Canis lupus familiaris: one gene and its partners. The protein of the gene in region 7 interacts with the protein of the main gene of each other region in a pairwise test. Links are inferred from orthologs where the notes say so. Each region holds a gene or a part of one and is shown on either strand. Other genes may lie near its edges. The genes, in order: LDOC1, NECAB2, PNMA2, CCDC102B, TRIM27, KRT40 and BYSL.

Region 1 (3,123 bases), on a different chromosome or scaffold from region 7:
GCTCATGTGATAAAATAGAATGTTTGTAACACATAACTATTATGCAAGTTTCAAAATATCTCTTAAAGTATCTTACTGTCCTGTACTCACCCTTCTTGTGATGACGTGAGATGATAGAATGCGTAGTGATCCGACGCCAGGCTACTGGTTGATCTTCTGGTGCCAGGTCAGAAGGAGGGTCAGCTGATTCCGGATCAAACCACCCTTGGCACGGGTGACTGAAAGCACCGGAGAGCAAAACCGTGGATCAGGAGGGACTCCTGTGTGTACTGCAGGAAGAGAAGAGTGAAAGCTAAGCAGTTGCAGCAGTCTGGGTGGGATAAGGAAGGCTGGATCAGGGTGGTATAGTGGGAGAAGTGACTGATCTGGGGATATATTTTAAAAGCAGAGCCAACAAAATTTCAGCTCTAGGGTCCTGGACTCAACGATTTAAATAATCCAGTTCAAAGTAGAAAGCCCAAAGCATTTAAAAACACAAGTGTTCATTGTTAAGCAACAAACAACATGCGACCGAGGGCCAAGGGGCATTAACAGGACATGAAACAGAGGGTCAAAGAGAGGCGAGAGCCTGCAAATCGTTCTCCAGTGGTGCTTTTGCAGAAGTTTTTATACTTGACTGTTTAGAAAAAAATACTTTTTAAAAAAGGATGTAGGTATACAATATTGTTTCCCAACTAAAGAAAAAAAAACCCCATTTAGATATTGTTTTGTTTTCAAAGAGGAGCCCCAAGGAAGGGTCTTTCGCAACTCCGAAAGGATGCGTGGCTCCCGCGGGGCAGGCCGCAGCGCCAGCAGTTCCCTGGGTGAGTGGGATTTCAATAAGCGAGGACGTGTGTCACCGAAACGCGCAGGTGGAATCTCGTAGCCACAGACCCACCAAGGAGCCCCGCACTGTGTGAGTCGGCTGAGTCCGAGCGTGACCGATCCTTTAAAGTTGAGCAGGTTGGCCCTCTCTGAGCTGGCTTTTGGCGGTCCCGGGGCGCACATCCGGGGCTCTAGCGCGGGAGCCTGCCCTTCCCGGGCGCCGGCCTCGGGAACTCCGGCCGCGGGCCCCCGGCTCCCGCCCGCCCCCTCCCTTGGACCGAGCCCCCGGCCCCGCCCCCGGCCCGCCGGCCCCGCCCCGGCCCCGCCCCCTCGCGGCGCCGGCAGCGCCCTGACCACGCCCCCCGACCCGGGCCGCGCCGGCGCGCCGGCCGCCCGAGTGGCTGTGCGGGCGGAGCTTGCGCAGCAGCCGGACCCCAGCGCGCACCGCCCTCCGCCCCTGGCCACCGTGCGCCTCGGCGGACACGCACTTCCTGCGAGGCCTCCGTGCGCACCTGAGCCGAGCCCAGCCCTGCGCTTGCAAGCCGTTCGCCATGGTGGACGAGCTGGTGCTGCTGCTGCACGCGCTCCTGATGCGGCACCGCGCCCTGAGCATCGAGAACAGCCAGCTCATGGAACAGCTGCGGCTGCTGGTGTGCGAGAGGGCCACCCTGCTGCGCCAGGTACGTCCGCCGAGCTGCCCGGTGCCCTTCCCCGAAACGTTTAGCGGCGAGAGCTCCCGGCTCCCCGAGTTTATCGTGCAGACGGCGTCTTACATGCTCGTCAACGAGAACCGATTCTGCAACGACGCCATGAAGGTGGCATTCCTAATCAGCCTGCTCACCGGGGAAGCCGAGGAGTGGGTGGTGCCCTACATTGAGATGGATAGCCCCATCCTAGGTGATTACCGGGCCTTCCTCGATGAGATGAAACAGTGTTTTGGCTGGGATGACGACGAAGAAGACGACGACGACGACGACGAGGAAGATGATTACTAGGCCGGGAGACCCTCGGGCCCAGGGGGGAGGGCCCTGCACGCCGCCATCCTCTCCCCCGCCTCTCCTGCCCGGCCCGGAGCCGCCCAGCGCCCTTCCGCCCTCCCATCCCCTTCCCTACCCCCAGCTCTCCGGTTCTCTCCGTCATCCCCCTGTAGTGCTTGCCTTTGTTCCGGTTACCTGCTGCTGGGGCCTCGCTCGGAAGCGCGCCGCCACCCACTCTGGCCAGCCCCGGGGCCCTCCCCTGCTGATTTGGACTGTGTCCTGAGCCCCAGCTATAGGGCAGGCCCCTGTTACAAACTGGTCAGACCACGCACAGCCCTGCCCTGCCGACTGCAAGGCCTCCATCTGCCCAGAGACCTACGCTGCCACTTCACCACCGTCCACCACATTCCAGCGACAGAACACAGCCTTTGAAAATAAGGACCAACCTAGAAGATGCCTGAGTTGGCTCTATGTCCTTGGACATTGATTTGGACAGCTCACCAGCCCCTGAAGGGGCCAGTCTTTCAACCTGGTTAGTTCCCTGCCTACTCCCAGGGTCCTCCCCTTCCCCACCAGATTGCTGCAGGGGCCTAGTGCGCCTGGCAGCCAAATTGTTGACATTTCTTTTCTCCTATGCACCAGTTTTGCACAGCTGTCCTTTTTCTTTCCAAACTGCAGCAGTCCCAACAGATGTGTGCATTTGGACAGAAATACTAAAAACAAAACAAACAAACAAAAACAGGCACTCAGCCCAGCTCCTCAATACCACCTGGAAAAAAGCATTTACGTTCTTTTCAATAAATATCAAGCACTACAAAAATAAAGAAAGGAGTGTCTTTTAATGGTTAAGTGCTATCATTGGCCTCTTCCAATCTCACTCTGACTCCCGTTATGCCCCCTGAGGTCAGGGAACTTAGTTCAGTCCCAGTATTCGCCACTGTCATCTCTAGGCTACAGAGGACAACTACCACAGGGTTTTCTAGGAATTCTGGTACTCTCCTCACCAAGGCATTTCTTAAAGCCCTGGCAAAAGGAGTGAGTGTCCTCTGGGGCCTCCAGGGTGGCATGGGTAAGGGGTGGCTGAGCAGGTGGCACACCATCCCAAACTGGGACACTTGAGAGTTAAAGGGGGACACTGTTAATAATTAGACTAGGACAACAGGCATAAATCTGGACACATACAATGTTATTATCTTCTTGAGCCTTTGGATTCCTTACTCAACACTGCCAGAGAAATTCTGTCCCTTAAGTCTTGTTGCCCGCGGGGCGCTGTTGAGTTCAGACTTCAGTTAACTACGTAGCATATTGTTTTAATGCCCCTTTCAGGTGCTTGAACTGACAT
Region 2 (2,945 bases), on a different chromosome or scaffold from region 7:
CAAATGCAGCCCCCGTGGTGGCTTTCATCTCCCAGTAACCAAGTACCAACAAACCAAATTGCTCCGGTGACCTAAAGCCTTGCCATCCATGTCTGGTGCAGGGTTACATCTGATCGGAGGGTGACACGTGTGCCCTGTCCTCTCGGTGACGACCCCACAGCCCCACGTGTCATTTGAGGCTGGAACCTAATAAGCTAATGCTACGATTGGTAGCCTGGTTCTGTGCTTCCACCCTGGGCGGTTAGGGCGGGAATCGCCCGTAATTATACGGGGAATGCCACCCATGACAGCGATCCTCCTCCTCCTCCTCGAAGGATGCTGGGGGTGCTGCTCTGCAGAGCGGTGAGAAAGCAGCCAGGGGCCAGATCAGGACAGGGTTAGAGATGGTGGCAGCTTAGCGCCTCCCTGCCAGGTCCGCCACACTCGGGGAGGCAGCCCCTGGCCCAGGTGGGATCAGCCCTGTTACAAGGAGGTGGGCAGCCGGGTGCTTCCCCAGGTCCTGCAGGAGTGATGGGGACAGGGGGTCCTGGCCTGCCCACCCACTGACCCGGGCACGGCCCTCCCCCTGCTGCTGTTGGGCCAACTCCAACTCACAAGAGTGCCTTAAGGATTAAATAAAATAATTCTGGAGGAGAGCCTAGCAGGAAAAAGGCTTTTATTTTTACAGGTAGGGTTTTTTAATGAATGTAAAACGTTTGAATTACAATGAAATGATATTTTAATTCAGTGAGCATTTGAGGAGCCTGGCCCTGGGGGAGGCGGCTGGGTTACTCCTGCACCGGTGCTGGGGCCCTCCCACATCCTGCCAGGCTGGTGGGGTGGAGCATGGGGGGCACCCGCCGTGAGGGGGCAGCCAGGCCCCCTGCAGCTGGAGCCTCTCCTCTTACAGTATCGCGGCCCTGAGGCTGGCGGATGGCTTCACCTTCGTGGTCTACGAGTTCTGGGAGACGGAGGAGGAGTGGAGGAGGTGAGCAGGGCTGGGGATGCGGGTGTCCTCGTCCCTCAGGCCCCTTCCCTGGAGAGGAGAACGGGGAGGGCAGGGGAGTAGTGAGCCCCCATCCCTGGGGCATCCACCCACAGAATGCTGGTCTCAGGGCCCTAAATGCAGCTGGAGACAGGTTTCTCCAGGTGGAGGGATGGACCCCCGCCCCCCATCGCACCTGCTGGGCTCTGAACCCAGGCTCCAGGCCAGCCCAGGAGGTAGAGGCTAAGGCTGTTCCTATTTGAAAACTGAGGCCTCGGGAAGATAAAACTCCAGAAAGGTCTCTGATTAAGAGCACTCGGTGAGAGGCAAGAACCAGGCTGTTCCTCCCACCCCAACCTGCCCTTGCAGCAACAAGGCCCCCGCAGTCAGCCTGAGGCCTGGCTTCCTTGGCTCTCAGTACCAAGCGTGGCTGGCATGGGGTTCAGTAGGGCCAGGGTTACAGGATTTGGACCCTACCTGAGCCCAAGTGCTGGAGGCTCCCCCACTGTCCCCCAATCCCCGGAAATACCCCTCCATATTTTGGGTTGCAGGCATCTGCAGAGCCCCGTGTGCAAGGCCTTCCGGCATGTCAAGGTGGACACGCTGAGTCAGCCTGAGGCCCTCTCCAGGATCTTGGTGCCAGGTAGATGGAAGTTGGGGGTGCAGAGGGTCCTAGAGATGGGGGGGCAAGGGCCAAGGGCTGATACCCTGGAGAGGGGAGAGGGCTGGAGACCTCAGGCAGCCCTCCAACCTTGAACCAACAGAGCAGCTTGCAGGGCAATGGCAGAGCCTCAGCCAACAGGGCTCTGGGGGCACCCCTTCCCCTAACATGTGCATGAGGGCCCCCCCCAGGGGGCAGGGGCTGGATGGAGAGTGAGCTCCAGGGGAGCAGGAGAGGGGAGGTGTGCGACCTGCCCCTCACTATGGGACAGGAGAAGGGGCCAACCTTCCAACACCTTCTCTCCCCCCTTTCCAGCTGTTTGGTGTACCGTGGGCCGTGACTGACCGCCTTCCTGAGGCCTTTGGAGCCACCTGCCAACCCCGCCCCCTTTTCTAGAAACTTTGGTACACAAGTGGTCTTTTCAATCTACTTCCAGATAAGAATGTATTTTCCCTGTTTGAAATGAAGGAGCAGCCCCTTCCCCCAGCCTTCCCCGGACCCCCACCCCTAGTGGCAGAGCAGTCTGAGCGGCTGGAGCCGGAGGACAGCACCCCACCCCCCGGCCCCCCAGCCCAGTGGCCACGCATGACCCTCTCCCCCTACCCCTTACCACCCCTCCTCTGCAGCCTGCCCTGGCCTCACCGGGACCGGCCCCTTTGCTGGCCCCTGCGTCACAGGCCTGGTCAACTTTCCTCTACCTGGTAGGAGCCAAGACCCTGTAGTGCCCAACCTCGGCCTGTGCCCAGCTGCACATGGCAATAGAGCCCACGTAGCCAGTGCCATGCTTGGCAGGCACCAATACACTCTGGTTGGGAACGCCCGCGTGCGGTGTTGTTCTTTTGGACTTTCCAGTTGAGGGCGACTGGAGGAGTAAAGCCGTCACTGTGCACGGGGCCCCATGTTGGCCATGAAACCCTGACCAAATCACCCCAATGCCTGTTTCCTTACCTGCACCACGGAGCTGATAAATCTGAGGTCAGGCCCGTCACAAAGTTCGGGGAGTCTCCAGCAGTTCTCCTCTGGCTCATGTCACAAGGACTCCCAGGATGCAGCAGAGCCATTTCGCTCAGCTATGAGTTATGGCAACAAAAGGGTACAGATTAAAATCTGTGAAGGGAAGACATGCAGGGGTCTCGGAGAGTCCAGGCCCCTCACTTCTTGCTCCCAGTAGGGATGCAAGTGAGAGACCGCCCATACAGCACTACCAGCCAGGAAGCTCTGCAGAGCCTGGGAGATCAGGTTCCCCTGGGGAGGGGGCGGGGACAGCCCTGCAGAGCGCTGACTTAGCCTCCAGCCCCTCTGGAGGTCAGGGCTGAGACC
Region 3 (4,214 bases), on a different chromosome or scaffold from region 7:
AATAATTTAGTATAGGTTTAACAATTTTTTAAAAAATTGGACCAAATAAATCAAACCTGGAATTACAAGTCAATTCCCTTTTGTTATGTCTGGGCAGGCTTTACAAATGCAATGTTTTGTTTTCTTTTTTTTTTTTTTTTTTTTTTTTTTTTTTTGCGATCAATGTTAAAAATGCTTCATAGCATTTAGGCTTGAATGGGTCATTTGAAGAAAAAGAAAAACAGGAAGCCCATCCATGGAGAGTGGTGGAGTCTGGGTAACCTAGAAAGGGAAGAGCTCCTACTGTCTCCCAGTTACAGCTATGGGGTATGTGTTAAGGGGCTACGAATATTCTTCTGTAGGTCTCAAAGATCCCCATCCATCCAAACGGGGTTCATATGCCCCAGACATCAACTTGCAGCTATAGAGGCAGCTGCTCCTGCTGCAGACACATTTTCCAAGTCCTTCTAGAAGGTGCTGAAGGCCTGGGGTGTGCCGGAGGGCCAAGAGAGCAAAATACTGGGTCCCACCTTCAACCAGCAGCCCCAGGGATCTGAGCCCAGTGAGCTTCTCCATGCTGCACTCTCCCTTCAGAGATACGGGGGTAACATTCCTTTCCTTGTGATATTTAAAGGAAATACGAGATGTAAAAAGGCACTGAATGCCCAGGAAGAAACATCTCCAAGGTCTACATAATAACGGCCATGCTGAGGTTAGGCTACCTGTGGGTGGCTGCTTCTTCCAAAGGCAATCTCTACCTGCAATGAAAATATTGGCACATTAAAAAAAAAAAAAAAAAAGTAAAATTTTGTATTTTCTTAGGTAAAGATGGGATAAGTTGGAAAAGGAATCAGATTTTCCGGGCAGCCCGGGTGGCTCAGGTGTTTAGCGCTGCCTTCAGTCCAGGATGTGATCCTGGAAACCAGGGATCGAGTCCCACATGGGGCTCCCTGCATGGAGCCTGCTTCTCCCTCAGCCTGTGTCTCTGCCTCTCTCTCTGTGTGTCTCTCATGAAGAAATAAATAAAATCTTAAAAAAAAAAAAAAGGAATCAGATTTTCAGGTGTCGTTGTTGGCTGGATCATTTAGCTACATAGTGACCTTAGCCAAAGTGCCTCAATCTCTCTAGATCTGTCTCCTGCTCTGGAAATGGGTGATGATAAAAGCACTCCTATCTCGCGTGCCTGCTCTGGGTAGGAAATGATGTAATTCGTGTGGAAGCACTTTATTCAAATGCGAAGCACATCTGGTGCAAAGTCCTGGCCCCTCCACACAAATATTCCTCTCCTTCCTCAGTCTCCCGTTCTCAGCAGGGTCCTCCTTCCCACCTGCCATGGTGGGCTCGTCTTCAAACTGTGACCGGTTGTCCTCCAAATGCAACTCCATTCCCCAAACTGTCCCTCACGATTGGGGGTGGGGGGAGCGTATCCGAACTTAATCCTTGCAGGGGCAAGAGCTGACAATGGGAGTGAATCCTTGGTCACGCTGCCCTGCACGCGGGTCTTGCGGTAAACAGCTTCTCCCAGCCCAAACCCACCCTGGTTACTGAGCATGCCCAGATCTCCGTCTCCAGTCGCCAAAGGATGGGCATCATTTCTGCAGGATTTTGCCACTATGGAAAGAGGGGCGGGGTTGTAATCGGCCAGAGGCAGGGACTGATGCATGGAAAGGACGTGGGGACAGGAACAAGCAATGAAGGACTCTCAGAGACCGCGTTCCCGGCACAAATCTAAATGCCCCTTATCTGCCCGCCAACCCAGTAGCTGTGGCTGGTTTAGCCGCCCGCACACACCCAGCCCCACGCACCCTCGCGTGGCCTCACACCATTCAAGGCACAGTCACAGGCGGCACCCGATCTCCCACCCCATCAGCGGACTCGCGCCCCAGCACTTTACATCCCAGGCACTGGGCTTCGGGCCACCTGGGGGACGCCGCGGCTCTGGCGCAGTGCGCAACGCGGGCGGGGGATCGAGGCGGGGCGCTCCGGGCGCGAGGAAGGGCCGGGGACTTGGGGAATGGGCTTCAGTCTGCGTCTTACCCTCTTTTTTGGCAGGGAAGGTGGAAGATAGCAAATGAAGGCATTCTCCCGGGCCCTTCTTGGTGCAGTGGCGCAGCTACGGCACGCGGAGCCTTCGGGCACGAGAGCAGGTCCCTACCCACTCTTACTACGAGTTGCCGTCCGTGCCAGAATTTGCAGACTGCACTTTTTGCTACACTCCCACAGCCCGCAGGCCTATGTCTTTATCCCCCCCCCCTCCACGCACACACACTGGGCTACGCCCCTCTGTATTTCCCCCCGCCTGGCTGGGCGCCCCCCACCACTGTGGGTGCTGCGAGTGAGGAGAACCTTTGCGTTTCGATCTCTGCGTGGCCCCCCCAGGCCCGTGGCTAACAAGGCTCGGTGTCCCGTGCCTCGTAAGGCCCCCACCTTCCTAAACCGACTGCGCCACCCCTTCCCCATCGTCAGCGCCGCCCCTTCCCCTGCCCGCGGGTGTCCGGGCCTCCCTGGGCTCGCCCCTCTCTGCCCATCCATCAGCTCACACCCCGCGTAAGGGGGAGGGCGCCCTCCCTCGCCCCGGGCCCACCTCTGCAATGCGGTGGGGGTGGGGGACAGGGGCGCGGAGGCCAGGGACTGCGCCCTCGGGTCTCCGCCCCTGCGTGCGCTGCCCCACACTTACCCCGGAGCGGAGAGCGGTCGGCGGGCCCTGCGCTCCGCATCCATTAGCGGGTGGTCTGGCCGCTCCACTTCCGGAGCGCGGGGCTCTCGGCGGCCCGGCCCTGCTCTCCGCTCCCGGGCCCGCGCTCCGCTCCCCGCCCCGCCCCGCCCCTCCCCTCCCGGCGCGCGCCCCGCCCCGCCCCCGCCCGCCCGCGCCTCCCTGCCGCCGCCGCTGCCGGGAAGCTGGCAGCCTCTCCTCCTGCTGCCGCAGCGGCCGCCCTCCCAGACCCAACTTTGCTGCTCGCGGGCGCTGGCGCGGCGGCGGGGGGCGTGGGCAGGGAGGGGAGAAAGCGGGGTCAGAGGGAGGGGCCGGGAGGGGTGGGCCGCTGCTCGCCAGCCCTCCTTCCTTTCTGTACACCTTGCGGTAGGCAGAGAGCGGCAGCCTCGGCGGCAGCCCGGGGGTTTGTGCACAGAGAGGCCGACTTAGGGACCTGCAGACGGACGCACCGCGAGGACCCTCCCTGAGCTCCCGCGCCATGGCCGAGAGGAAGCAGTCCGGGAAGCCGGCAGAGGATGAAGAAGTCCCTGCCTTTTTTAAAAACCTGGGCTCGGGCAGCCCCAAGCCCCGGCAGAAATTCTGTGGCATGTTCTGCCCAGTGGAAGGGTCCTCCGAGAACAAGACCATCGACTTCGACTCGCTGTCTGTGGGCCGGGGCTCGGGGCAGGTGGTGGCTCAGCAGCGGGACGTCGCCCACCTGGGCCCGGACCCGCAGCAGCCGCACCCCCGGCAGGGCCGGCGCGCCGGCGGGGAGCCATCTGTTGAATCGAGCCGGAAGGTGGAGATCCGGCGGGCCTCGGGCAAGGAAGCGCTGCAGAACATCTACGACCAGGTTGGTGTGGGGGTGGGGGTGTTCGAGACGCGGGACCAGAGGCGGGAGTCGCCCCTCCCAGCTCGGTGGAGAACCGAGGATGCCAGCGTGCCCTCCTCCGTCCAGCCTCGCTGGGATATTGCATCCTCGAACCCGCACAGGCACCCCACCCTCCTTGCCCCTCTTCCGTGCAGGGCGCGGAGAGGCTCGGGCTCGGCGATGGGCGGCTGTGCGCCCACAAAGGCTGCCCGCGCCTCCCCGGGCCTGGGAGGTGGGGGGTGCGGGTGAAGGAAGAACCGATCCCGGGTTGGGGGGGGGGTCGTATGGCGATGCAGGGGGGGAGGGTTGAACCGATTCCATTCTTCTTAAACCCTTCTGGGCGGCTTCCGATTGCAGTTGTGGCTGGGTGCCCCACCCTTTTTTGATGCATCTGGGAGCGTGCAGTGGAGGGTTCGCGTGCAGGCCCGGGGGCTCCCCGGGGTTCGGGAGGGGCGGGGGCTTCCACAGCCGCTCCCCGCCGCGCCCTGCGCGCCCTCCCACCGGTACCTTCTCCCGCGCCCTCGGCGCCCGGGTCGGGAGCTCGGAGGCCAGGACCATGGTCAGCGCCTGGGCGGACCGCCTGGGAGGATCCGCTCGCCCTGACTCCTGCTCGCGGCGTGAAACGAGGGAGGCTGTGGAGTCACCCAAGGAACCCGAGACGCTCCAAATAGC
Region 4 (4,138 bases), on a different chromosome or scaffold from region 7:
GGCAGAGACACAGAGGGAAAGCAGGCTCTATTCAGGGAGCCTGACATGGGACTCGATCCCGGGTCTCCAGCATGGCCCTGGGCTGAAGGTGGTGCTAAACCACTGAGGTGCCCCACATTTATTTTTTAAATGTAACTTCAGATTGTAAAGGTTGCTTGAACACTACTTCTGTTGCATAGCTCTACTCTAGAGCAACCCAAAAATTTAAGGATTTTTCTTTTTCATAGAGAATTTTCCAGAAATAGAAAACTTTGTTTTGAATTTTCAAACTTATGTTCAGTGTGTTCTCACAAAATTTCTATCTCTGTCTTACAGAGGCTTCTCACTTATGCATCAAACTAAGATGATTGCTAATAATATTATTTTCAAATATATGTTTGAAAATGCATTCTATTGATAATGTAAATACACATCAGCATCATAGCTATCATTCAAATATAAATGAACAGAACATTTTCATTCTCTGCCACATGGTCACATAATGTAGAAGAGGAGATGCTACAATAGTCACATCAAAATAAAATGGCCATGATTCAAAACACTGGATATGACTGTTCCACGTTCTCATCTGAGAAGTTTAAAAGAAATCCCATTTATTTTAAGCTATTTAGACAGCCTGGCTTTTAGAAAAAAAAAATTAAATATTAAAATAAAGGTAGTTCATGGTTTCTGACCATCATTTGCAAATATAATTTAATCTTTATCCAAAACTTTGGCAATATAATGAACATCGAGAAAAATTATGGGCTTACAATTCGTTAGATGTGAAAAATTCTATGTCTATATCTTATTGTTCCCTGAAGATCCTTCTCTAATACAGTCTGTAAGACCAAGCAAAACATCATTAAAAATAGAGGACAGCAGAGGGGATACAGTCAATAATATCATAATACACTTATCCTGGTGAGCATTTCATTAGGTATAGAATCGCTGAATCACTACGTTGTATACCTGAAACTAGTTTAATATTATATGTCAACTACACTTCAGTTAAACATTTTTAAATAGGTAACTATAGGGGATCCCTGGGTGGTGCAGCAGTTTGGCACCTGCCTTTGGCCCAGGGCGCGATCCTGGAGACCCGGAATCGAATCCCACGTCGGGCTCCCGGTGCATGGAGCCTGCTTCTCCCTCTGCCTATGTCTCTGCCTCTCTCTCTCTCTCTCTCTCTCACTATCATAAATAAATAAAATTTTTTAAAAAGTTAAAAAAAATAAATAAATAGGTAACTATATGAGGCGATGGATGCATTAAAAAAATAAGAAGGTAAGTGGAGGAAATTATGAACAAAATTAGTCTCAGCATGGGAATGGGTACTAAAATTAGTGTCCACTTGTGGATATTTATCTTCTTACCATAATATAATCCACATATAAAACACCATGTTTTTCCATGTATTTTTATAACAGGACTGTTTTCCCATTTAAGTAAATTCAAAGACATTTACTAATAAGAAATAAAATGTATCTAGTAAAACCAAGGGTGGTACTAATTGGTTGTAATGGAACTAAACTTAATTTCATGTCCAAAATATTTTCACATGCAGTATCCTTACAATATTCTCATCTTTCCGTTCCTATCAATTCCAATAGTTCTACCTCATGCACCCACTGGCTGGTATATACCCTAGATACTATTACCATACAGCATTTCTTCCATTTCCATGTTAAGCACCCTTTTGATTACCTTCTGTGGTCCACAAAATTCTCTTCTTTGACCTAACTTGGACCTCCTATTAACTGATCCCATTATCTTTTAACCATTTATTACCTACTTCATATTGATACTCCTTCCCTTTTCCAAGCCCCATTAATTAACAATTTATGCTCAGCTAGATTGGCATTCTCTTAACCTTATTGCCTAGAAAACTCCAATTCTGGTTGGCATTCAACTATCTGCCTGTTCCACATAGGCACCTACCTGAGCATCTGCTAATACTTAGAGAAAACATGGTTTACTTTCAGGTCTCACTTCAATTCTTGATTCTGAATATCACATCAGCCCTTAGCACTGCACAGCCAACCCTACTCCATTTCCCTTATCATTTCACTTTCCCATTCTCCAAAACTCCACCCATCTTCTTCCTTAACTCTTCCATCTTTCTTGATGAAGTTATTCTTTTTTTCCCTCTGTTTCACTTTAAAAAAAAAAAAAGTTATCAAAAGACAACTACCATTCTCTGGCTCTACCACACTTATCAGCCTTGTGGTAACCCTGATCTCAGCCTCTTTCTACATCATCCTTGCCCCTAAAGTCAAACTTTCCATTTGCAGGTTCCATCTGAATCCCCACTAGCTGACTTAAAGACTTAACTCCTACAAATAGAGTTCTCTCTCTCCTTTCTAATAAAATTAAATCTCCCTCCTAAGTCATTCTTATCGGCAAAGGGGACATGCTATAATATCTTCAACCTGAAAAACAAAAATCATCTTGATCTCCATCCAGGGACCATCACATTTCTCTGATATTTTTTATAGTAAAAACCATTAGAAGATATTTTCACTCATCTCACTCTCTCTTGAACTCACTCTACCAGTTTTTAAGCCTAGATCTCTGCAAAAACAGAAAATCAATAACTTCTGTATTGCAAAATCTAATTAACAGTTAACTCCTATTTTCCTTGACCACTCAGTAGCATTTTATATAACTTGGCCATTTCATCTTTCAGCAATGACTCATTTACTTAGCTTCTGAAAGACTCCTCTTTCATGGGTCTCCTCCTACCTCTCTGAATGGTGCTCTTCATTCTGCTCTGGTGGGTCTGCCTCTGATATGGTAGTACTCCAGCACATCTATTTTTTGGGGGGAAGAGGGCTTTAATTCTACAAATTAAAGACAAGGATTATAGGATACCATTTAAAAGCTCTGCAATGAATATGTTTTTTATTCAAAAGGGTACTTCTGTATTCAGCTACCAAAAAAAGTCCTTCTATCAGTTTTTAACAGCAAATATTCTTTTATCTTTTCTACATATAACAGCAACTCATAGTAAATATCATCATATGCAAGTCACTCAGGTATTTAAATATATAAAAATATTAGTAATCTGCAAAGCTATGACCTTAATAGAATGGTATTGAGCACAACCCATCTTCTCTTTGATAGGCTGCTTTCCTCCTATAAGATAACCAGTTTTCTATTTTATAATACTTGATAACAATTGTGCATCAACAGTTGATCAGGGCATTGAGGACCAAACACTGAGGACCAGGTATTGAACATGTAAAAGACTCTCTATAAAATAGAATCTTGGAAAACAGCCTAGATCTGTTTAATTAAAATGAAATGTCCTAACCTAAGGTCAGTGATGAAAGTATTTGAGCTGACAAGTATACTTATTGTTTTCTTAATGATATATTTAAAGGAATGAATCTTTACATTACAACTATCTTCAGCTGTTTGGGCATATGGCAAAAAGGCATTACTCCAGTAAAGCCTATTTAAATGACAATAAACTTCTAAAACAGTAGATCGTACATTTCTAAAATGAGAGCACAGACACTATTATATATATATAGTTATAATATATATTTATAAAATATTCTATTTAGAGAAAAGTTAAATATATTTAAAGTTTAGATATACGAGGAAAAATGTTAAATGGGGCTTATTCTTTTTACTACTGATGTACTGTACTCTGCATTGTCTATTAGCAACATAAATTTTATATATGCTCTTCACCCATTCAAATAAAACTTACATGATAATCATGGGGTCTTTCCATTCATATCACTCATCATAAACAAACAAAAGAACGCCAGTGTGTTCCCAATATCATTTCCAATAACCACATGCGTTTCTCTTATGAATATGTGATATTTGATGAAAATCAGTGATTAAACTTCCTCTGAGAAATCAAAAGACATCTTCTTTGAATACAATGTTCAAGAAAATAAAAGAGAGGAAAGCCTAAGTGTTGAATATGAGAATCGCCAATTTAAGTATAAAAACTGCTTATTTTCAGTATCAATTTCTTCTGTCTATTCCCTAAAGTAAGAGTGGACCACCTGAGAGAATTGTGATTAGCTTGGATTTACGGATGTCGTCTCACTGTCTCTTCCCTGCACGCTATTACCCCAACGCCATCCCAAACCATTCTGCTCAACTTCTGCCAGACTCACATTCCTAAAATACCAGT
Region 5 (3,500 bases), on a different chromosome or scaffold from region 7:
CCCTAGGTGGCGCAGCGGTTTAGCGCCTGCCTTTGGCCCAGGGTGCGATCCTGGAGACCCGGGATCGAATCCCACGTCGGGCTCCCTGCATGGAGCCTGCTTCTCCCTCTGCCTGTGTCTCTGCCTGCCTTTCTCTCTCTCTCTCTCTCTCTCTCTCTCTCTGTGACTATCATGAATAATAAATAAAATTAAAAAAAAAAAAAACTTATAAAAAAAAAAAAAAAAAAAGAATTGCCCCAGTAAGGGGCAACTGAGTATCATGTACCTTTAGAAGGATATACCACTGGGTGCCTGGGTAACTCAGTTGGTTAAGTATTGGACTCTTGTTTCAGCTCAAGTCTTGATATCAGGGTCCTGGGATTAAGCCCTGCATCAGGCTCCATGCTCATTGGGGCATCTGCTTCTCCCTCTGCCTCTACCCCTCCCCCCTGCTTGTGCGTTCTGTCTCTCAAATAAATAAGTGAAATCTTAAAAAAAAAAAAAAGAAGAAGAAGAAGAAGAAGAAGAACATACCATACACCAGTTAAAGATGATACAGCCTGGATTTAATCATGAGGGGAATATCTGACAAACTCCAAAGGAAGGATGATATCCTGTAGAATAAACAACCTATATTAAACCAGTGTCAGTGTCACAAAAGACAAATCAGCCCTAAGGAGCCATTCCAGATATGCATGGTGATAGCTGAGTGTGGTGAATGGTCATGGATTACCGAGCAGGGAAGAGAGTAGCTGAAGATCACTTTATTAAGGTGATTGGTTAAGGGCCTGCCTTTGGCCCAGGGTGCAGTCCTGGAGTCCCGGGATTGAGTCCCACGTCAGGCTTCTGGCATGGAGCCTGCTTCTCCCTCTGCCTATGTCTCTGCCTCTCTCTCTCTCTCTCTCTACGTCTATCATGAATAAATAAATATAATCTTAAAAAAAATAAGGTGATTGGTTAAACTAGAGTATGGACTGGGTTAGATAAAGGTTTTCTTAGATCATTGATCATTAGATCCATGTTCCTTATTCTGGATTGAATAACTACTGTGGTTATGTGAGAAAATGTACTTATCCTTAGGAAAAACACACAGAAGTATTAACGGGGCAAAGATACAGCATAGAATGTAAATAGTGATCTCTCAAATGGTTCTGCATATAAATGTGGTTATAAAATCTGGAAAATTGGGGATCCCTGGGTGGCTCGGCGGTTTGGTGCCTGCCTTCAGCTCAGGGTGTGGTCCCGGGATCAGGTCCCACATCAAGCTCCTTGCATGGAGCCTGCTTCTCCCTCTGCCTGTGTCTCTGCCTCTCTCTCTCTCTCTCGAATAAATGAATAAAATCTTAAAAAAAAAATCTGGAAAGTCTGGGAAGGGGTATCCAGGAGCTCTGTACTAGCAGCTTTTCTGTGTATTTGAAATTATTTCACAATAAAAAGTTAAAGCAAGCTGGACAAGTAGGCAGTTGTGGTCTGAGGGTGGGATACTGGAGTTTGGAAATTTGAAATCGTGAGATCCTGGGCCAGTGGGGCAGAAGCAGGACAGAGGAGATGCTGGGAGTGCAAACTGTGCATCTCACTTTGCTCACCCTGACTCTAGGTCCTGGGCTGAGTTGTGGTCCTTGTCTCCCTGGCTTTTCGTAGGAGGGCCAGCTGGTTCCTGGGTTTCCAACCAACATCTGAAGGAAAACTGAAGCTACGAAGGTCTCATGGTTATCTTTTCCTTTCTCTTGTAGGACATCGGGGACACACTGAGCAGGTACGGTGTTCTCTCTCTCCAGTGCTCAGTCACACAGGAGGATGTTTCCCTTAGACTCATAAATCCTGAAAGGAGCCAGAGAAGGACATCTGACGAGAGTGAAACACAGCCTGCCCGTCTCTGGACCAAGTCACTGGTGTGCAGAGAGCTGGATGGACCACAGTTCTGCTTAGTAAACTCAGGAATTACTGACAAACTGCGGGTGAATGAGTACCTGTGATTTGTGAGGACACATCTGTGGAGAGCAAAGGCTCACACAGAGCTGGCCAAAGTGCAAGGGTTTCAGAGTCCTCTCCCCAACTGTATGATGGGGAAAATATGGCCTAAGAGGAGTGTGGGTGGCTCAGAGTTGCAGAATCAGTGCTAACTTACCTGATACAGGCTCCTGTTCTCATTCCTTCTTGGCTGTGTGATCTGATGGGGACGGGGAGGAGCGGGCCAGATGCCAAAGTTCACCTGTGTTTGCAGGACAGACAGGGGCCCATGGGCTGGGGTTTGGTGCAGCAGCATCTACAGGGGCAGAGGCTGACTTAGAAGGAGCTGAACTTTCAGATTGTTTAAAACACTGCACAGTACAAGCCCTCCAGAGAAATGAGCTGGGCCAGGGCCTCATAGATAGAGTAGGTTGGCTGGGAGTGCCACATGGAGAGATTCTGGGGTAAAATCGAGGGTTTGAGGGAGATGAATTGGAGCGTGTCCAGTCCCAGCCAGATGGCCCCAGTGATCCCTGCCCTTACAGTCACTGATGCCGGTCCAGTTCTGGCCTGACATGGGGAGATAGACCCTTCAGAGCCCAGCGTTTTATGACATTAATGTTGGGGTCTGGCTGTATGAGATAGGAAACCAAAAATTTCGTTGGCTTAAAGCTGAAACATAATTTCAGAAATTGCCACCTGTGAGGAAGGTGCAGGTAGGTAGCCAGGGGCGGAGCAGGGAGTTTCCTTCTTTCCGCTCTCCTGCTGTCCTTGAAGTCCCGGTCCAGGATGGTTGCTGGAACGCCAGGCAGCATGAGGGTGATAAGTACGTCACAGCACGCTCCCCCTGAAGTAGGCTTCGCAGATTGCCATGAGACACTCCTTCCCTCTTACTGGCCAGAGCTCAGTCACAGGGTTGCATCTAGACGGGGCAGCCGTGAGCGTGGTGTAACTTGGGAGATGGGATATTGGGGAGGCAGCTGGCAGTCATGGATCATGGACCCCCTGAACAGGGTGGGTGCCAATCTGCCTGAAAAGGGTTCTTACCTCTGGATTGTTGCCCACCATGAAGCTCAAGGACTTTGTCATGGAATCTTTTGCTTTCTGGCACGGTCAGCCTTCTATTCGGTTTAATTCAGTAAACCTTTTTGAGGACAAGCCATTTGAAAATCCATGAGCTAGGTCCTGTTGGGGGAATGGAGATGAGGAAGCTGTTTCTCCTGCTTTTGTCCAGAGGATCACAGTCTAGGCAGAGAAGAGGGAAAAGGCTGTAGGGGCTGCTTTAAACATTGTTGGTCATTTTAACCCAGACTTTGTCTGGGCTTCTGAAGTCATAGGGTTAGAGGAGGGGAGGGATTTACTCCTTTTTTTTTTTTTTTTTTTCTTTTTTTTTTAGAGCTGAAAGAATCCGGATCCCTGAGCCCTGGATCACACCTCCAGATCTGCAGGAGAAAATCCACATTTTTGCACAAAAATGTCTGTTCTTGACGGAAAGTCTGAAGCAGTTCACAGGTAACAGGAAGATAGGGATCCCTTAGGGGAAATGCATTCATGCTCTGAATATCTGTCTT
Region 6 (4,074 bases), on a different chromosome or scaffold from region 7:
TTATGAAAGTCCTTGGCACATAGGAAGGTCTCAATAAATGCTATTATCATCAACACATGCTCAAAGGGAAAATATACCATTTTACATCATTAAGTTTTTCACTTTTTAGCTTTATCAACATGAGATAGTCATATACTTCGTATTTTATGATTTAGAAAGTTTATAGATGTAGAATATTTTAAAATATTGGTCCAAATATTGCATAAGATGTTATCCCCTTTCTGAAATGGCCTTCATGCCCTGTGTTTATCAGCCTGATTTTTGTAGCTTATGGATTAGAGTTATGTGGCATAAAGCCTCCAAGGAAAGCCATTTGTAAAGTTACCTCCTTCACGAAAGCAATAGCAGGTGAACAATTTGGTCTTTCAAGTGGTACTAGCCAGGGCCCATTTCACATATACACCCAGAGATATGCCAGAGTCATCAGGCTGGACATTAGTGCCTCGAGTAATTTTGTTCCAGCTTTAGCAATATCTGCCCGAGTTTGATTTATATACACAAAACGAAATCTATCAGTTTGACTTTGTCACCTCCACATTCATTCAGCAATTTTACACTTTCCTTACCTCTTTGTGGTTTTTCTTAAGGCAAAGGAGATCTTCCTTCAGAGACTCCACATGGGCCTCCAGATCAGCTTTGCACAGAGTCAGCTCATCCAGGATCCCACGCAGGCCACCAATGTCCGTCTCTATCAGCTGGCGAAGAGACAGTTCAGACTCATACCTTTCACAGCAAAAGAGATACAGATGGTGCTTATTTTGCTAGACACTGTGCAAGATGCTGGGCATGCTGATGAATGACACAACGACTCAAGGAAGCTATATCCCAATTAATGTGAGCTTTGTGAGCATTCTTAGCTTAAAAAAAGCTTATGTAGAGAATATTTGTAGTGTGCACGTGTGTGTGTGTGTGTGTGTGTGTGTGTGAGAGAGAGAGAGAGAGAGACAGCCATGAATTATTTTCAAATTCAAATTTAACTTACTTTGACCTAAAGTCATCAGCAGCCAGTTTGCAGTTGTCAAGTTGCACAGCAAGTCTGGAATTTTCTGCCTTCGTGCATAAGATCTGGTAAGTAAGTTAGTTATATATACTAGAGGGCTCTTTGAAAGAAACTTAAATATTTATTCATTTAACAACTATACCATTATTTATCTTTTAAAAGTCTTTATAAGACAGTATAAAATAGCTTGAAGCCTATTTTTCTTATTAAGCATGTCACTTCAATGAAGAAAAAAGCAGGACCATTCATAAAATAAATATAGAAATAAAAAGGGTCCGTTTTTCAGTGGCCTAAAACATTTTGCAATATTCCTTGGCAGTTGAACTTGGATTTTTCTCCATAGGTAGTTGTGAGTGAGTTTATTTTGGCCATTCAATGATTACTGGCAGCCCCACGGCTCATGCTAATTTTTGCTGAATTTCAGCCCACCACCTTTTCCTCCTGGAGAACCCCTTTCCCTGGGGATGGGGGGAACTTCCATAGAACAGCCTTTTTTTTAGTATAAAGATAAAGCAAATCACAGATTGGGAGGGTGAAGCATTAGGGCAATGAAACACCAGACCTTTTGCTGAAGCTCTTCAATAGTGTCAAAGTAACACTGATAATCAGGGCACACCAGTGGGATATCCTCTTCACATTGTTCTCGAATCCTGCATTCGAGCTCTGCGTTCATCTCTTCCAGGCCACGGACCTTCTCTAGATAGTTGGCAAGTCTGTCATTCAGGAACTGCATCGTCTCCTTCTCATTGCTGTTGAACACCCCATCCTCACACCAAGCACAGTTCCCCACCAAGCAAGGAATATTATAATTCCCAGCAAAGTAGCATGGTGTGAGGCAACTAGTTGGCAAGCGAGACCTGGATAGGAAGCTAGGGGTCTGGCATCTGGATGTAGCAGGGGCACTGGGGAGGCAGGTGGCCTCCATGGAACAGGTTGAAGCAAGTGCACAGTCGGAAGCCTGGGCACAGGATTCAGAAGAGCAGCACGTGGGGAAACAGTCAGAAGTCATCCTATTAGAAGTGAAGAACAAGACTAGTTGCAAAACTCCAATTGACTGGTTCCCAGAGTCTCCATCCCTCCTGAGACTTTTATACAGCCTGCAAATGGGTATTTACAGAACATACCGGATGTTCTGTTTATCACTGTTGGTGCCAGTTTTCATATGAACATTCATTAGTGTTGTTTGTTTTCTGAGGAAGTTTTATGCCTCATAAAAGAGGCATAGCTTCAGGTTACTAAGTAAGGGCAATATTTCCATCTGCCAGTAGGATAAGACGCTTGGTTCAGAGAATCTTCATGAGATGCATTATCTTTTTGGTAGAATACAGAAAGGCAGAGGACATTTGGCACTCAGTAATTGCAGATACAACTGATTACAAATAACAAAAATGATATTATCACAGATTTTGCTCCTGTATTGTAAATTGTTTATCTATCCTTTTAAAATTCATATTACATCTCATTAAATGCCATTTATTTGTTTGTGTACCATCATAAAATGTTCCATGTAGTTAACCATCTTTGCAATGCTTTTTATGGTCTTGTTGTGCTCACATGGTAGAGGAGTGAGGTGTGTACTGGGTTTAAAGTGTGTGTGCACATGCATATGTGTGTGTGTGTGTGTGTGTGTATGAACTACATCTACCTGTGTGCAAATTGAAAAGTCACTTTATAAATAACTGATGGGCATAATCTGTGGCCTGCAGGCCAAAATACAAACTGGTTATCAAGATCTGGAGTTGTGATCTTTGATTTCCTGAAACTTGCTTTCTCTATGTTACCTATGCCTCATTTTTAGATTATGTATACTATTTTCACCTGTATTAATAATAAGAGTGAAATACAATTTCTAAGTTACAATCTTTTAGTTTCTTGGGAAACTAAACCCTCATTGGATACAGTTCAGAATAGGGGCAAGGAAGCTATAAAAGACTTTTCTTCTGAGATAGAATCTGTTTTCTCTTATTTACTTATTTTTTTAAGGTCACAATTTCATAAAAATGTGAAATACTGGCGTTGGGGAATAAAATTTTATAATTTGAGTTCCAGACCAGGAGTTCCATTGGATGAAATCCCTGGTGCAGTACCAAATGGATAGCGATTTGAGACATAACTTTTTTGGATTTTGTTTTGAATTTCATCTCTATTATGTATGTAGCATAATCTCTTTCACTTTCCTTGGCATAATTGTGGTATGTATTTCATTTTCAAAGGTGGGCAGAACAGATTGCCTCTAGAATCTTTAAGATTTTTACTGGAAAAGGCCCACTATTCTGACAAAGTTAAAATTTTCATGATCCAGAAAAAACTAAAAATTTTTTTCTAACTCTGAACACTACTTCCTAGGTAGCTGATGATGGAAAAACCAAAACCAAAAACAAACCAAGAGGTCTTAAATAGATGGACTTAAATAGTCCCTTAGTATGTATTACTCTCCCATCTAAATACTAACCGGGCCTGACCCTGCTTAGCTTCCAAGATCAGATAGGATTGGAACACTTTCAGGGTGGTATGGTTGTAGACTCTTGGGTTTGATTTTAGTGATTCTCTTCACATTTCAACACTTAATGCTAAATGTTCTTTTTTTATCTTTCAAGATTTTATTTAAATTCAAGTTAGTTTACATATAGTGTAGTATTAGTTTCAGGGGTAGAATTTAGAATTTAGTGATTCATCAGTTGCATACAACAACCAGTGCTCATACCATCACTTGCCCTCCTTAATACCCATCACCCAGTTACCTCATCCCCCCACCCACTTCCCCTCCAGCAACCCCCAGTTTGTTACCTATGTTTAAGAGTCTCTTATGGTTTGCCTCCCTCTCTGTCTTTGTCTTATTTTATTTTCCCTCTCCCTTCCCCATGTTCATCTGTTTTGTCTCTTAAATTCCATATGAGTGAAATCATATGGTATTTGTCTTTCTCTGACTGACTTATTTTGCTTAGCATAACACCACCCATGCCATTGTTGCAAATGGCAAGATTTCATTCTTTCTGATGGCTGATTAATATTTCATTATATGTAATGGAATATTATATATATATATATATATATATATATCACATCTTTATCCA
Region 7 (3,500 bases):
CCTGCCTTTGGCCCAGGGCGCGATCCTGGAGACCCGGGATCGAATCCCACATCAGGCTCCCGGTGCATGGAGCCTGCTTCTCCCTCTGCCTATGTCTCTGCCTCTCTCTCTTTCTCTCTCTGTGACTATCATAAATAAATAAAAATTAAAAAAAAATAAAATAAAAAAATAAAAGCCTAAGAACTAAGAAGAGTATCATATAAATATCACAGGGTCAGTATGAACTAGTTGAAGGTCTTTATTCTAGACCTCCCTCCCCTGGATCAGAATCTACCAGCTTAAAGAGTTTGCGTGTAGGAGCTTCAATGCCCACCTGTTTGGAGCTGCCATTTAGGATACAGGGCAATAAACTGTGCTCCTAAACAAGGGTGAGTCTGCCCATCAGGGAACATTTGGCGATACCTGGAGACATTTTTTGGTTATCAAGATTGGGGAAAAAGGTCACTACTGGTGGCTAGTGAGAAGTTAGGTATGCTGCCAAATACCTCTCACTGCACAGGACAGACTCGACAAAAAAGAGTTTTATCCAGCTCAAAGTGCCAGTAGTGCTGAGGATGAGAAACCCTAGCTGATATGAAGCTGAGAGTGTGAAAGAGATCTGGCCAAGGAAATCGAACTTAGCACTGAGAAAACTGAGCATAACAAAACCAAATGGAATAGGATGGATCGCCCTGAGGCATCATGAAAAAAGACCCTGTAGCTGTTTCCCCAGCCAGTCTGAGCAGTTCTATAACAAGTGGACAGGTGGGCAGGAAGTTGGGGTCATTCTGAGGAGGGGCCAGTTTTGCCAAGTTGGTTCCCCACAATCAGCTATGCTCAGGGCCCTTCCCAAAGGCAGGGAACCAAAACTGGCAGGGCATGTGCCTCCTTATAGAAAACTGCACCCGGACCTGACATCCCAATCCCTAGGCCATGCTAGCCCTACCTGGCAGGAGGGTTCTTGTTCATGAACATCTCAATGGCCCGCTCATCCTCAGCATCCACAACAACTTCTGTGTGATGGCCTGCCCCCGTCATTGTGGCAGCCTTCTCCAGGGTGGGCCAATCCTCATCCTCGTCATCTGATCCGTCCTGCGGGACTCCTGGACCTAGAAGAGAGGATAAAACAGATGAGCAAGGCAGGGAGTTGGGGAGGGATGTAGAGGTCAATTCAACTTTACCCATCATGTAAAATACAGACCTCACATGTGCTTATAACAGATAGAGATGGGGGCAGTGGAAGCACGGATGCACCCACTGTCTTCCAGTTCCCAGGGGCTTCCTGGTCCCAATCTTGCTTGAGAGACAAAGTGTACAAATATGAGCCAAGGAGATAGTGATGCCAATGAGTAGTCAATCGTTAACACCCTAGACTCAGTTATATAGCAGGAGCTGTTCTAAACACTGTACCTAATTTTCATAATGCCAACAAGTAGCTACTTCTTTTTTTTTTTTTAATTTTTATTTATTTATGATAGTTACAGAGAGAGAGAGAGGCAGAGACACAGGCAGAGGGAGAAGCAGGCTCCATGCACCGGGAGCCCGATGTGGGATTCGATCCTGGGTCTCCAGGATCGCGCCCTGGGCCAAAGGCAGGCGCCAAACCGCTGCGCCACCCAGGGATCCCAAGTAGCTACTTCTATCCAGTTTCAGGTAGGGACTCCTAAGCATAGGAAAGTTAAGTAACCTGCCTGAGGCAGGTAGTCTGAGTTTAGACTGTACATTCTTCACTTTTTTTTGCTCTATGAACATTGTAGGGCTTCATTAAATGCCAAAATAAAAGGTAAAGGCAGTGTATACCACAGGTACGTAAAAGGTAATAACAACAGAGGATGGTTAGACTCTGGACAGGGAGTACAAGAGCTGGAGGAGTGTGCTCCAGACATGGGTAACAACACTGCCAGGAAGGCTTGGTTACAAGAGCATCTGATAGGCAGTAGCAAGAAATAAGGCTAGATGGTCAAAGTAAAGCCAGATTGTGGAGGGCTTGAGGTCAGGCAATGCAGTTCAGATTTTAATGAACAAACCCCTCTTTTTAAAAAGAACTAACTTATTGGAGATAGACTGTGCATATGTCTGCACTAACAGGACCAAGGGCAGGGGCAGAGGCAGAGGGAAAGGGAGAAGCAGACTCCCTGCTGAGCACAGACCCTGCCATGAGGCAGGAGGCTGGATTCCAGGACCCTGGGATCATGAACTGAGCCAAAGTCAGATGCTTAACGACTGAGCCACCCGGGCACCCCTGGAACAACCCATTTTTATAACTGGTTATTGGAAAGCTATAGGTGGTTGGGCATCTGGGAAGGGATGTAATATCCGAACAGAAAGAAATGTTACACATGAACAGCTCATTAAGAAAAGAGGCAGTGTGTGATAAAAGCTAAATGGGGGAGGGGATGTGCCAGATGTTTTGTGTCTACATGCTAACAAACCCCAAATCTGTGCTTGTAGGTATATTTCCCTTTACTCTAGCTCCCTCCTGTAGAGCACCTCCTGGATGAGCCACAGGCAATTAAAACCTCACCTGTCATCAACTGAACTCACTCTTTTCCTTCTAGGTCTATACTACTCACTGTGTTTCAGATCTAAGTAAATGGCACTACCATCACCAAATACTGAGCCAGAACCTGGTAGGCCTGCCCTCGCCCCCTGCCCACACCCCAATTACACAATCAATTACCATGTCCTATTGAATTCTACCTCAGACTATCTCTCAAATCCTTCATAGTTCTGCCTATGCCTAGATCAGGGGCATTGCTTGCCTGTATTCAACAATCCCCTAACTGGTCTCCATATTCTGCAATAGCCCCCTGCTGTCTTTAGGACAGCTTTAAATCCTAAACATAGCCTCCAAATCTTTTGTAGATTTAACTTCTACCTACCTTACTACTATTAGCCCATTCATTCAGCGAACAATGAGAGCCTATTATATGTGAGGCATTGTTCCAAGTGTTGAAAAAAATTAGTATAAAAGGCAACTTGGGGCACCTGGGTGGTTCAGTGGTTGAGCATCCGCCTTTGGCTCAGGTCGTGATCCCAGGGTCCTGGGACTGAGTCCCATATCAGGTGCCCCTCAGGGGCCTGGTTCTCTCTCTGCCAATGTCTCTGCCTCTCTCTCTAAATAAAATATTTAAAAAATAAGTAAAAGAGAAACCTACAGAGCTTACGTTTGAACAGGAATGATAGATAATAATAAGTATTAAAAGAAGACAAGTGCTATGAAAAAAGAACAGAGTTGAGAAGTCAGGAGTGTAGAAACAGAGGTAAGGTGTATTTCTTTCCCTTTTTTTCTTCAAAAATTTTATTTGGCCGGGGGGTGGGGAGGAAGAGAGAGAGAAATAGAGAGAGAGGGAGAGAAACAAGCAGACTCCCTGCTGAGTGCAGAACCTGACACTGGACTCAACCCCAGGACCCTGAGAATTTCCTTTTTCTTTTTTTTAAGATTATTTATTTGAGAGAGAGCGCATGCATGCGCACACACATGTGCACACACAGAGGGAGAGGAAGAAGCAGCCTCCCCA

What was found.
Region 1: the proteins of BYSL (region 7) and LDOC1 interact in binary tests that used the Homo sapiens proteins (3 or more experiments, as listed by UniProt). The two-hybrid records come from large-scale screens. The link is inferred for Canis lupus familiaris from reciprocal best matches to the Homo sapiens genes BYSL and LDOC1.
Region 2: the proteins of BYSL (region 7) and NECAB2 interact in binary tests that used the Homo sapiens proteins (3 or more experiments, as listed by UniProt). The two-hybrid records come from large-scale screens. The link is inferred for Canis lupus familiaris from reciprocal best matches to the Homo sapiens genes BYSL and NECAB2.
Region 3: the proteins of BYSL (region 7) and PNMA2 interact in binary tests that used the Homo sapiens proteins (3 or more experiments, as listed by UniProt). The two-hybrid records come from large-scale screens. The link is inferred for Canis lupus familiaris from reciprocal best matches to the Homo sapiens genes BYSL and PNMA2.
Region 4: the proteins of BYSL (region 7) and CCDC102B interact in binary tests that used the Homo sapiens proteins (3 or more experiments, as listed by UniProt). The two-hybrid records come from large-scale screens. The link is inferred for Canis lupus familiaris from reciprocal best matches to the Homo sapiens genes BYSL and CCDC102B.
Region 5: the proteins of BYSL (region 7) and TRIM27 interact in binary tests that used the Homo sapiens proteins (3 or more experiments, as listed by UniProt). The two-hybrid records come from large-scale screens. The link is inferred for Canis lupus familiaris from reciprocal best matches to the Homo sapiens genes BYSL and TRIM27.
Region 6: the proteins of BYSL (region 7) and KRT40 interact in binary tests that used the Homo sapiens proteins (3 or more experiments, as listed by UniProt). The two-hybrid records come from large-scale screens. The link is inferred for Canis lupus familiaris from reciprocal best matches to the Homo sapiens genes BYSL and KRT40.

What each region holds. Positions count from the first base shown.
Region 1 is NC_049260.1:112,049,045-112,052,167, forward strand, and holds LDOC1 (protein LDOC1), read left to right. Parts: upstream 1-1,208; 5' UTR 1,209-1,355; coding exon 1,356-1,799; 3' UTR 1,800-2,623; downstream 2,624-3,123. UniProt on the Homo sapiens protein: May have an important role in the development and/or progression of some cancers.
Region 2 is NC_049226.1:68,811,505-68,814,449, reverse strand, and holds the end of NECAB2 (N-terminal EF-hand calcium-binding protein 2), read left to right. Parts: intron 1-638; exon of another isoform or gene 639-889; coding exon 890-967; exon of another isoform or gene 968-1,015; intron 1,016-1,515; coding exon 1,516-1,607; intron 1,608-1,940; coding exon 1,941-1,969; 3' UTR 1,970-2,445; downstream 2,446-2,945. UniProt on the Homo sapiens protein: May act as a signaling scaffold protein that senses intracellular calcium.
Region 3 is NC_049246.1:31,209,002-31,213,215, reverse strand, and holds the start of PNMA2 (paraneoplastic antigen Ma2), read right to left. Parts: upstream 2,801-4,214; 5' UTR 2,657-2,800; intron 738-2,656; exon of another isoform or gene 702-737; intron 1-701. Other genes in the region: DPYSL2 (dihydropyrimidinase-related protein 2), read left to right, coding at 3,171-3,524.
Region 4 is NC_049222.1:9,363,240-9,367,377, forward strand, and holds the start of CCDC102B (coiled-coil domain-containing protein 102B), read right to left. Parts: upstream 2,801-4,138; 5' UTR 2,793-2,800; coding exon 2,725-2,792; intron 1-2,724. UniProt on the Homo sapiens protein: During interphase, forms fibers at the proximal ends of centrioles to maintain centrosome cohesion. During mitosis, dissociates from the centrosome following phosphorylation to allow centrosome separation. Contributes to CROCC/rootletin filament formation.
Region 5 is NC_049256.1:27,394,762-27,398,261, reverse strand, and holds part of TRIM27 (zinc finger protein RFP), read left to right. Parts: intron 1-1,712; coding exon 1,713-1,735; intron 1,736-3,325; coding exon 3,326-3,441; intron 3,442-3,500. UniProt on the Homo sapiens protein: E3 ubiquitin-protein ligase that mediates ubiquitination of various substrates and thereby plays a role in diffent processes including proliferation, innate immunity, apoptosis, immune response or autophagy.
Region 6 is NC_049230.1:21,658,557-21,662,630, reverse strand, and holds the start of KRT40 (keratin, type I cytoskeletal 40), read right to left. Parts: upstream 2,801-4,074; 5' UTR 2,010-2,800; coding exon 1,563-2,009; intron 1,069-1,562; exon of another isoform or gene 1,066-1,068; coding exon 983-1,065; exon of another isoform or gene 724-982; coding exon 567-723; intron 1-566. UniProt on the Homo sapiens protein: May play a role in late hair differentiation.
Region 7 is NC_049233.1:10,772,509-10,776,008, reverse strand, and holds part of BYSL (bystin), read right to left. Parts: intron 1,089-3,500; coding exon 926-1,088; intron 1-925. UniProt on the Homo sapiens protein: Required for processing of 20S pre-rRNA precursor and biogenesis of 40S ribosomal subunits. May be required for trophinin-dependent regulation of cell adhesion during implantation of human embryos.